Linked DNA regions of Oryctolagus cuniculus. The protein of the gene in region 1 purifies or fractionates together with the protein of each later gene. This does not show direct contact. Links are inferred from orthologs where the notes say so. Each region holds a gene or a part of one and is shown on either strand. Other genes may lie near its edges. The genes, in order: SLC7A11, OTUD5 and CD44.

The links.
Region 2: the proteins of SLC7A11 (region 1) and OTUD5 purify together in Homo sapiens (affinity purification with western blotting; 3 studies listed by BioGRID, with this or other methods). This does not show direct contact. The link is inferred for Oryctolagus cuniculus from reciprocal best matches to the Homo sapiens genes SLC7A11 and OTUD5.
Region 3: the proteins of SLC7A11 (region 1) and CD44 purify together in Homo sapiens (affinity purification with western blotting; 3 studies listed by BioGRID and IntAct, with this or other methods). This does not show direct contact. The link is inferred for Oryctolagus cuniculus from reciprocal best matches to the Homo sapiens genes SLC7A11 and CD44.

What each region holds. Positions count from the first base shown.
Region 1 is NC_091439.1:26,522,564-26,526,216, reverse strand, and holds part of SLC7A11 (cystine/glutamate transporter), read right to left. Parts: intron 1,299-3,653; coding exon 1,172-1,298; intron 1-1,171. UniProt on the Homo sapiens protein: Heterodimer with SLC3A2, that functions as an antiporter by mediating the exchange of extracellular anionic L-cystine and intracellular L-glutamate across the cellular plasma membrane.
Region 2 is NC_091453.1:34,106,649-34,110,301, forward strand, and holds part of OTUD5 (OTU domain-containing protein 5), read right to left. Parts: intron 364-3,653; coding exon 299-363; intron 212-298; coding exon 55-211; intron 1-54. UniProt on the Homo sapiens protein: Deubiquitinating enzyme that functions as a negative regulator of the innate immune system. Has peptidase activity towards 'Lys-48'- and 'Lys-63'-linked polyubiquitin chains. Can also cleave 'Lys-11'-linked ubiquitin chains (in vitro).
Region 3 is NC_091432.1:30,782,317-30,785,969, reverse strand, and holds part of CD44 (CD44 antigen), read left to right. Parts: intron 1-2,438; coding exon 2,439-2,525; intron 2,526-3,401; coding exon 3,402-3,608; intron 3,609-3,653. UniProt on the Homo sapiens protein: Cell-surface receptor that plays a role in cell-cell interactions, cell adhesion and migration, helping them to sense and respond to changes in the tissue microenvironment.

The DNA.
Region 1 (3,653 bases):
TATGTAAGAAATAATTCAAAACAAGTAGAAGTACATCCCAGGATGATGGATATTAGAAAAAGAACAAAATTCTCCTTTATCATTATTTCAATATAATAAGTTTTAAATAATGCAGAATTGTTCAAAATTAGAAGAGTCTTAACAATGAGTTGTATACTACTCTGAAGTTCTTTGATATATAAAAAAGGAGACATCTAACACCATAAAATTCATGATGAGTATTAATGGATAAACTTAATAGTTCTGCATTTGCCACTTACCATAAATAACAGAATATAAGCTCATTAGAGTGTGCAGCTTTATAAAAGGAGTATTCAAAAGTTTCATGGAAAATATGCATTATGTTTTAATTCCATTTTTCCATGAACCTTGTGAATCTCCTTGGAGGTCTGATAAGTTTACCTATACCACTAGTTCTCCACTTATTTCTACTGAATTCTGTCACTTTGGATGGATGTAGTTAGCCTTTGGGCCATGTAACCCAGTACACTGCTCATATGATGTCATAAGTTCCCCCACAAAGTTGAAAGCAATTTGCTATTCAGCGTGACTTAGCACTATTTGTTGCCAAGACAATCAGGAAGAGGAACACATTCTTAAAACAATAACAAAAAAGATTTTCGCAACTGCAGCTCATTGATTTGCTTAAGGTGAGGAAGTGAGTCATTTATGGGATGTAAACTTAATGTTTTGTAAAGTGCAGGTCTTGGTGACACACCAAGTTGTTATTAGGCATAGAAATTTCTTAGTCACGAAATTGAATAGCTAAATGACCAAATGATATACCCTGTAATTCAAACAAAATCTCCAAGTCAGCATGCTGAACTTTGTCAGTCAGTCAAAAGGTACGATTTATCAAGGTGAACTTTGATGCTACATATCCTTGCAAGTAAGCATCTTTCCTAGAAATGTCACGGAAAATAATTCAAGATTAATAAAAAGCATTACCTTAAAAGTGTGGCATTTTTAGTGAACTGTTGCCAGTGACAAATATGTTTTAAAATGTTAATTCAGAAAGGTATTTATCACAGACTTTATATCCTAAAGTTTACATGTTTACAACACAGTCACAAGAGATGCATATTTCTAACTAGTAAAAATAACCAAGGTGACTCAGAAGAATGACATACACATAGGTTTCTTTTTTCTTAATATTTTTCTATGTTCTTACCGTATTATGAGCAGTTCAACCCAGACTCGTACAAAAGCTAGCAATGGACCAAAGACTTCCAGAATATAAGTGTAATGGCCACCAGATTTCTTTATACTTGTTCCCAGTTCAGCATAGGACAAGGCTCCTGTGAAATATTTATAATAAAAAGGTACAAATTTAATATATTATCAAGCCACCCAGCAGAAGAATCACTCAAGCAATGTTTATGTTGCCTGAGTTGTAACTATTTCCTTGGGGTGAATGGCGTCCTTATTTCAAGACAAATAACCGCCATGTACTTGCTGAAACCTACCAAGTTCCTCTTCCAAATTCCTCTCTTGGAGCTCTAGTTCACTGTATTTGAACAATATAATTTTACTTAAAATGGTAAGGACAAACTTCTAAAATAGTACCATAGGTTTCAGAATTTTGAGTTGAGCAAGGGAAAACTAGAAGGTGGATACCCATCATAGTGACTTGTTTCGTGAAGAACAGAACTTCATACCAAAATAAATAATTGTCCCAACCTGACCTTATTATATTGAGAATCCTTTAACAAATGATACTTCCATAGCAAGTGAAAATAAGTAAATTTTTGGCTGCTCTCCAGGAAAATATGGATCCTATGACCTGCGAGACTCCATTTCATTTGTAGGATATATATTCTGTGATTGAAATGAATTTTGATTCCATTTTTTGTTGCTAGAAAAGGTTATTTGGATGTTTGTGAAGTATATATTCTGGGTGGTTGAAAGAACATACTTTTAAAATTAAAAAGGGATGTTACAGTTTATATTTAAGAACACTAGGTAAAATTACTTATAAACAGAAATGTTAACATTTAGGAATGCAAGTCACATGGAATTGGGCATGAAATATAACCTCTCAGAACCTCAGTTTCATCTCCTATGAGATGGACCTCAATTTTCACTTCACAGGGGAGTTGTATGCATATATGTGACAGCAGGAGATACAGCTATATCTATATATCTATTAACTTGAGCAATTATGAGAAAATGAAAAATAATATTATTTGAAAAGTTTTATCTATACTGCTAAACACTCAAATGTAACATACAACTTTTGCCCAAGTTTCATCAGAAACAAAAGATGGAAAAATGCTACTAATCAGTTATGCTTTTGGTACAGCTATTCAACAAAAGTAAATTTTGAAGATGCAGTGAAATCTTAGTAGCACTTTATCCCTGAACATAGCACTATGCAAGAATCACCTGGAAATAATTTTTAAGTAGCAAACAAATGTTCTCTCTCTTACTCTTTCCCTTCTTCTCTCTCTTTGCCTCTGCCCTTCAAATAACTAAATAAATCTTAAAAGGGGGGGTGGGGTGGCCAGTGCTGTGGCATAGCAGGTAAAGCCAATGCCTGTAGTGGCCTCATCCCATATGGGCATGGTTCAAGTCCCAGCTGCTCCACTTCTGATCCAGCTCTCTTCTATGGTCTGGAAAAATAGTGGAAGATGGCCTGAGTCTTTTGGGTGGTCTGGGGAATGAATCAGTGGATGGAAGATTTCTCTTTTTCTCTAACTCTGCCTTTCAAATAAATAAATAAGTAGATAAATAAATCTTTAAAAAGAAAAAGAAAACAAATGAGGGGCAGACACTGTTGTATAGCAGGTAAGGCCACAGCCTGTATTAGCGGCATCCCATATGGGTGCCGGTTCAAGTCCTGACTGCTCCACTTCCAATCCAGCTCCTTGCTAATGATCTTGGAAAGCAGCAGAAGTCTGCCCAAGTCCTTGGGCTCCTGCACTCATGCAGAAGATGGGGAAGAATCTCTTGTCTCCTGGCTTTGGATAGGCCCAGCTCTGGCCATTGTGGCCATTTGGAGAATGAGCCAGCAGATAGAAGATCTGTCTCTCTCTGTCTCTGCCTCTCTGTAACTCTACCTTCCAAATAAATAAATAAATTTTAAAAAGAAAAACAGGTTGTCTTTAAAAAATAAATAAAGAAAAGAAAACAAATAAAAGACAGACTGTAAGACCACACTACACGCCTACTCTCCAATAGAGTTAAGCTCCCATAGGAGGGACCAAGAATCTCTCATACAAAATGTTATTGGAAAAACTCTTAAGTACCTCAGAATTTATTGTCACAAAATCAATGCCTACACCTATGTATGCTTTGCTGTAACTCCAGGATGGTTGCTCTAGATTTGAATTGAGTTCTAGGGGAATAGGATTTTCATTTAAAGATTTCAAGCTCTATAATCACTTTGCATAGATGAAAAACAAAGTTGAAAACAGGATGTAAAAATCTATCTATTGACCCTGGCTTTTAAAAAGTGCAAAGCAAAAGCTTGCACTTAGCCTAGTAGTTATGATGCCAACACCTCATATCAGAGTATCTGGTTTAATTTCCAACCCCAGCTCTAACTCTAGCTTCCTGGTAAAGCAGACCCTAGAAAGCAATGGTGATAGCTCAAGTAATTGAGCTTGTGCCAGCCAAGTGGGAGACTTGGGTCGCATTCCTGGTTACAGGCT
Region 2 (3,653 bases), on another chromosome or scaffold:
CATGGCAGGCTTGCATGAGGTGCCACTAGTCCCCCCTCCCTACCACAGAAGTACCTGTGCTGTATTGGTACACCTCCACGGGACGGTTATACATCTCTGCCATGGCCTGCATCTCAATGTGGTTGCCATGGCAGTTGTTTTTCCGCTTGCGGTTGATGTAGGTGGTGAAGTCCTCTGTGACATAATTGGAAAAGTAGTCGGCATTCTTCATCTGCAGAACAGATTGGAAGGTCAAGGTCTGTGTGGAGAGGAGAGATCCTCCCCCGCTGCCTGACCCAAGGCCTGCCCAAGATCTCACCAGATAGTCCATGCAGTGCTTTCGTACAACCTCATGCATGTCCTGGTCTCCATACACCTGGTCAGCTGTGGGGACAGAAGGAGGCGCGAGGGTGAGAGCTACCACTAGAAAGGACTTCTGACTCACAGAACATCTTCAGGGGAGGGGAGCCAGGGGACCAGGGAAACACTCTCCTACTCCAAGGTCAGGACAGCTCTTGCCCTTGTGGCCTAGTTTGGGGTCGTGGAAAAAGGGACAGGCAGGGACAATCTTGAACAAGAGTGCAGCTGAGAGGGACATGATCACAGGCTACTCGAGCAGTTGACTAGGACATGCATGGCCACTCGGACAAGTCACCAACATTCCAAGTTCCACAATGGCCTTGAGCACTATCCATTCCACAGCCTCTCTCTTTCCACATGTGAACAGACTGCAAGGGCTGTGTGGAGCCTGTGACAGACATCAATTCTGGAATTCAGTTTCAGATGCCTGATGTCCAAGAGTCAGCATCGCTTTTGTAGGTTTAAAAAAGAAGAAAAGAAACTGAGCTCTATGTTCAGTTCTAGCAAATGCCAGTGAGCTACATGACCCAAGTATTCTGAGCCCCGTATGCCTTATCTGTAAAATGGCAACAAGATAGGCGATGCCTAGCAAGCCTCTTGTGGAGACTCAATGAGTAATAGTATAAAATGATGAGCACTGAGCTTGGCACAGAGAAGTCACTCAGTGGTATGAGTCCCCTCTCCATAGTGAGGATTCAAAGTGGGGTACTGTGAAGGTAACTAAACTCCTGCTCCTGCCTTCAAGGAGCACACAGTCTAGTAAGTGAGAAAAGCACACAGGCACCTAACTTCAGTTTAATTCATGGGCAGCTCGTGGCCCAAAAGATTCAGGCATCACGGGATTCAGTCAAGTGGAGGCGAGCAGGAACCAGGCGCCCTCTGCCTCACTTGAGGATCTTCACCCATGCCATTCCCCTCTTCATGATGCTCTTCCATCCTCCCCACTGCCTGCTCCTCAAACTCCAACCTGTTGTGTGACACAGTTCCCTACCTTCCTGGGCACCCGTGTCACACTGATCCAACATGGGCACACACTTCTACTGGATCACACCAGGTCCCCACTAAAGGGAGAAGGCAGTTCATACCTAAGTCCTCCCCCAGCTCAGTAAAGGAAATCAGAGAAAGTTTGCCAGGCATATGGATAGGCAGAGGCAGCCAGGGAGCTCTTCTCTCTGGGAAATTAAAGTGGGCTTAAAGATCAGGCAAGGGGCCGGTATTGTGGTGTAGTGGGTAAAGCTGCTGCCTGCAATGTTGGCATCCCATATGGGCGCCAGTTCAAGTCCCAGCTGCTCCACCTCCAATCCAGCTCTCTGCTATGGCCTAGGAAAGCAGAAGATGGGCCAAGTCTGTGGACCCCTGCACCTGTGTGGGAGACCCAGAAGAAGCTCTTGGCTCCTGGCTTCGGATCAGCACAGTTCTGGCCATTGCAGCCAATTGGGGAGTGAACCAGTGGATGAAAGACCTCTCTCTCTGCCTCTCCTTCTCCCTCTGTGTAACTCTTTTAAATAAATCTTTAAAAAAATATCAGGCAAGCCATATTTCCACTGGCTGAGACAAAGAGGGAATGTCCCTGTTTCCCCTGGGGACCAGTGCACTGAAAGGATCTCCTAGGGCCCTGGGGTAGGTAGGGTCTGGTCACACAGGAAACACCCAGAGTTCTTCCATGAGCATCAGTGTACCTCAGAAGAACTGTTGGAACTCACTTGCTGCCCTCCCCTTCCCTCCTTGGAGGGTTCTGTGAGATAAGGAGAAAGGTTGCTCTGAGGGGCCAGTGTGGCAGCTCAGCAGGTTAAGCTGCCACTGCTGGCAACACCAGCATCCCATATGAATGCTGGTTTGAGTCCTGGTTGCTCCAGTTCTGAACCAGCTCCCTGCTAATGCACCTGGGTCTTTGCACCCATGTGGAAGACCCAAAGCTTCTGGCTCCTGGCTTCAGCCTGTACCAGCCCTGGCCATTGTAGCCAGTTGGGGAGTGAACCAGTGGATGGAAGATCTGTCTCTTCTTCTCTAATTCTGTGTTTCAAATAAACAAATTAAAAAGAAAAAGAAGGGGGCCGGCGCCGCGGCTCACTAGGCTAATCCTCCGCCTAGCGGCGCCGGCACACCAGGTTCTAGTCCCGGTCGGGGCACCGGATTCTGTCCCGGTTGCCCCTCTTCCAGGCCAGCCCTCTGCTGTGGCCAGGGAGTGCAGTGGAGGATGGCCCAGGTGCTTGGGCCCTGCACCCCATGGGAGACCAGGAAAAGCACCTGGCTCCTGGCTCCTGCCATCGGATCAGCGCGGTGCGCCGGCCGCAGCGTGCCGGCCGCGGCGGCCATTGGAGGGTGAACCAAGGGCAAAGGAAGACCTTTCTCTCTGTCTCTCTCTCTCACTGTCCACTCTGCCTGTCAAAAAAAAAAAAAAAAAAAAAAAAAAAAAAAAGAAGGTTGCTCCCAGACAGAAAATGGGATGACGTCCCTCTCAATTCCTCCTGGAGGTGAAGAGAGACCTGAGGGAGGGAGGTAGGAGCTGCAAAGGCGGGAAGGGGGTAGCCCCTTCACAGATGTAAACAAGGATGTGGGTTCTGTGGCCACACTCTTCTCGGCCCCACCCCCAGTGGCACTTCCAGCAAGTCACATGTCCTGCATACAGGTTGGGGGCCCCCTGCTGCTGCCTTTCTTAGAAGCCAGGACCGCACAGCCTGCTGTGACTGCCGGAGCTGCTTGAGGAGCTATTTCTGTGAGCGGAGCCTTGGGTGCCCGGGGTGTCCGGAGGTAGTGCAGGTGACAGCGCTGTAAGCAGTTGCAGTAAACAGAGACTAAAATGGAACTCAAGGGGTTAAGTAGGGGTTGGCCTACCAGGCTCAGGGAGGCAGGCTGAGGTGTTGGGTGAAAATGTATCTGCTATGGAAGGGGTTACCATTTCCAGGCCTGGGAGCAGACATAGGACAATGGGAAGAAGGGAGACTGTGGGACAGAGCTAAAGCTGGGGGTAGAGCCCCATTTCCCTGTCATTGACCCCTTTGCCTGGCAGGCAGAAAGGCTCTGTCATCTCTGCATGGTATCGAACAGGGCCTTTAACACCTCTGGGCCGGTAACTCCTTCATATTGCTAGCTGCCCACCAGTCAGCCAGAATGCTACCAGAAATGCATATTAACTCCTTCCTCATTCTTGTTGCACTTCCTCAGCGTGAGGAAAGCCCCAAATGTAGTGCCTAGACTTGGGCTGTCTTTCCTACTGCAAGCCGAACTGGTCTCTATCTTCACTAAATACAAAAGTCCATGAGCCTACTTTCTGTGCCCTTGGTTCAAAACTTGAACAATCAAATTAATTTCAA
Region 3 (3,653 bases), on another chromosome or scaffold:
GGATAGGATTGCTTTGATGGTTGTGAAAAAGACATTTTTGGAGCCATATAATCACAGAGAATAGGGAAATACCATCAGTCTACAGAGAAGTCATGTTGTTGACAATTGACTAAGGTGGCAAGGTCCTTGGAGCAAAAAAGGAACTGTTACTAACATCTCTATTGCTAAATTTCCAGAAGGGAGCAGTGTTAAACTTCTAGTAGCCTTAATTTCTACCATATGTACATGGATATACTAGCAACTTGCCCAAAATCACTCATAATTTCTTGGAAGAATTTGAATGAAATCCAAAATTAAGAAGATGTCATTTCACTGCTTGCTACACACGAGTAGAGTCCTTTGTATTAGCCCTTATGCAAGTGAAATGTGTTGATTGTCAGTGATGTACACAGCACAGCATTAAGCTTAAAAGCAGATACAAATAATTGTGAATGGCCCCTGCCAATGAAGGACTCAGGTTTCTATTCTATCTCTGTTGACTTCTATACTGAGGCTGGGGTTTGGAATTTGGTGAATGTTTCTGTCCTGGTTATGTTATTTATTTGGTGGTGGACATGACTTAAGTGATTGCTTTATGGATTGCTTGCACCTGCAACTCAGAGGTCAGTACCCTTCTTAGAAGAATACAAGGGAAATGAACTCAAAACAGCCAAAGTGATTTTGGAGATGGGCTATGGTTCAACTTCAAATTGATCAATGTCACTGGGAGCCTTGTGTTTGCCCAGGCAAGCGTTTCCTTCATGCAATGATAGGAATCCCATCCACAGATGAAATTAAAAAAAAAAAAAAACACCTACAAATAGAGTAAAATGGTTATTTTAATTGTCTTCTGAAAAGAGTTAAATATTTCCTTGTATAAATTTGATCTGAGTGGCCGGTGCCACGGCTCACTAGGCTAATCCTCCGCCTGCGGCGCCGGCACTCTGGGTTCTAGTCCTGGTCGGGGCACCAGATTCTGTCCCGGTTGCCCCTCTTCCAGGCCAGCTCTCTGCTATGGCCCGGGAGTGCAGTGGAGGATGGCCCAAGTGCTTGGGCCCTGCACCTGCATGGGAGACCAGGAGAAGCACCTGGCTCCTGCCATAGGATCAGCGCGGTGCGCCGGCCGCAGCGCACCGGCCACGGCGGCCATTGGAGGGTGAACCAACGGCAAAGGAAGACCTTTCTCTCTGTCTCTCTCTCTCACTGTCCACTCTGCCTGTCAAAATAAATAAATAAATAAATAAATTTGATCTGAGTTACTGGAGCAGGCTATACTGGATAAACGTCTCTTTTGTGGGGTTACAGGTATACTATGGGCTATCAGAGTATTTATTTTCCTTATGTCACACTTCTTGACACACAGTTAAGTACTCTTTTTTAAATTAATTTATTTTTATTTAAAAGTCAGAGAGAGGGACACACACACAGAGAGAGATAGAGAGAGACAGAGACAGAGAGAGAGAGAGAGAGAGATCTTCCATCCACACATTCACTTCCCAGATGGCCACAATGACCAGGGCTAGACCAGGCCAAAGTCAGGGACCAAGAGCTTGATCTAGGTCTCCTATGTGTGTGTCAGGGGTACAAGCACTTAGTCAATCTTCCACTGCTTTTCCCAGGCCACTAGCAGGGATCTGGATCAGAAGTGGAGCAGCTGGGACTTGAATTGGCACCCATATGGGATACCGTGTTTCAGGTGGCAGCTTTACCTGCCATGCCACAGTGCTGGCCCCAGTTAAGTACTCTTTTTTTTTTTTTTAAAGATTTTTATTTACTTGAAAGTCAGAGTTACACAGAGAAAGAAGGAGAGGCAGAGAGAGAGAGAGAGAGAGAGGTCTTCCATCCGCTGGTTCACTCCCCAGATGGCCACAATGGCTGGAGCTGCACCAGTCCGAAGCCAGGAGCCAGGAGCTTCTTCTGGGTCTCCCAAGCGAGTCCTTGGGCCATCCTCTACTGCTTTCACAGGCCATAGCAGACAGTTAGATTGGAAGTGGAGCAGGCAGGACTCAAACTTGTACCCATATGGGATGCCGGCACTGTAGGCGGTGGCTTTACCTGCTACACCGCAGTGCTTGCCCCCCAGTTAAGTACTTGTTGATAGGAGCACTGGGACTCAAGCATTCCCTTTTTCTAGGTCTCTGTATTCTCTGGTTTTCCTGAGCGACTGGGAACAATACTACAATTGGGCCAGGGTGAACCAGGGTGGGCAAAGTTCTGGCTCAAACTTCACCTTGGCTCTTAACCTTCATTGCTTATATTGGGAAACAAAGGGATCAACTAGGGGCAAGATAGAATTCTTCTGTATATTTATGTCAATCCAGCGAGAATGTGCACCCATAATGGCTTTTCTATGCAACTATCTCTTTGCCACTGATATAGCTTGATCCTCCTCATTATCAGACAACAGGATATGTATCATAGCTCTAAATTAATGCTGGATTCATCCCTCATCAAAACAGAGCAGAGCCCTCTCCAGAGCTTCTCGACATTACATGGAGGCTTGGAAGAAGATAAAGACCATCCAACAACTTCTCTGACATCCAGAAGTAAGGATGAAAAAGCCCAATTAGCTTGGGCAATTGATGAAAATCAACAAATTATGGGTGCTTTGCAGTGTCTTTGGTGGTGGTGCGTCCATTGACTGCTGTTACGCTGTTACTTTTGAGCAATAGGTGCGTGTGGTTATGGTTCTCTGATTTTTCTGCTTTATAGACCTCTTAGAAGCCATTATACTTTAAACGCAAACTTAGTTCTTAATCTTAAAGATTGGGTTTCCTAAGCTTTTTAGTGGACGCCTTGGTTTTAAAATAATGGATTGTTTATGTATGATTTATAATTGGTGTAGAAGTCTGACTATCTCACTCTCTGTATTCCTTGCATTAATAACATTATTTTGCCATTTGTCCTCTGGACCATAGCTCCATGGTACTGGTGACAAAGAAGCAGTGCCTTTCTGGCAAAGAATAATTGAATTAACAAACTCAGGTCTTTGAAACTTTGCACTTGTTATTCCAATTGCAGGCAATGCCATTTTACTTTTCAGTCCAATGGTGTGTTTCTTCTACCTCATCAAAGGTGGATCCAATGGAAAAAGAGCTCAAGATTATCTAGTGCCTGAGTTGCCTTCAAGGTCACAGTTGTAGTAGCATAAGCCTTACCTTAATAACCCAGGTAGATGTTGTAATGAATACCTCATCTGGGTATTAGATCACTAACTAGACTCTTCTGTTGAGTGATGTCCAGGTGGCATGTATTGCAAAATATTGATTTTGTTCAATAGTGTGACAAAATTCCCTCTTTGGCTCATTGCTCATGGGTAACACATGGCAAATTTTCGCAGCAATTGCACATTCTGAAGACAAGCACACAGTGGGTGGTGATCTTAGAAATGTGGGTTTATCATGGACTCCACCTCTACACAGATAGGACTCATGGCAGAGGAGGAAGAAGAGGTGAAAATCTCCCTGCTGACTCAACTACTTCCCTGCAAGGTTATACTCCTCACTACCCAGAAACAAAGGAAAATAGGACCCTCATCCCAGTGACCCCTACTAGGACTGGGGCCTTTGGAATGACTGAAGTTGCTGTTGTTGGGGATTCCAACCCTGATGTTGATCGCTCCTTACCAGGTAATTTGGCCATTTGTTAACTGGTTTGCTTTCTTTATAGAGAAA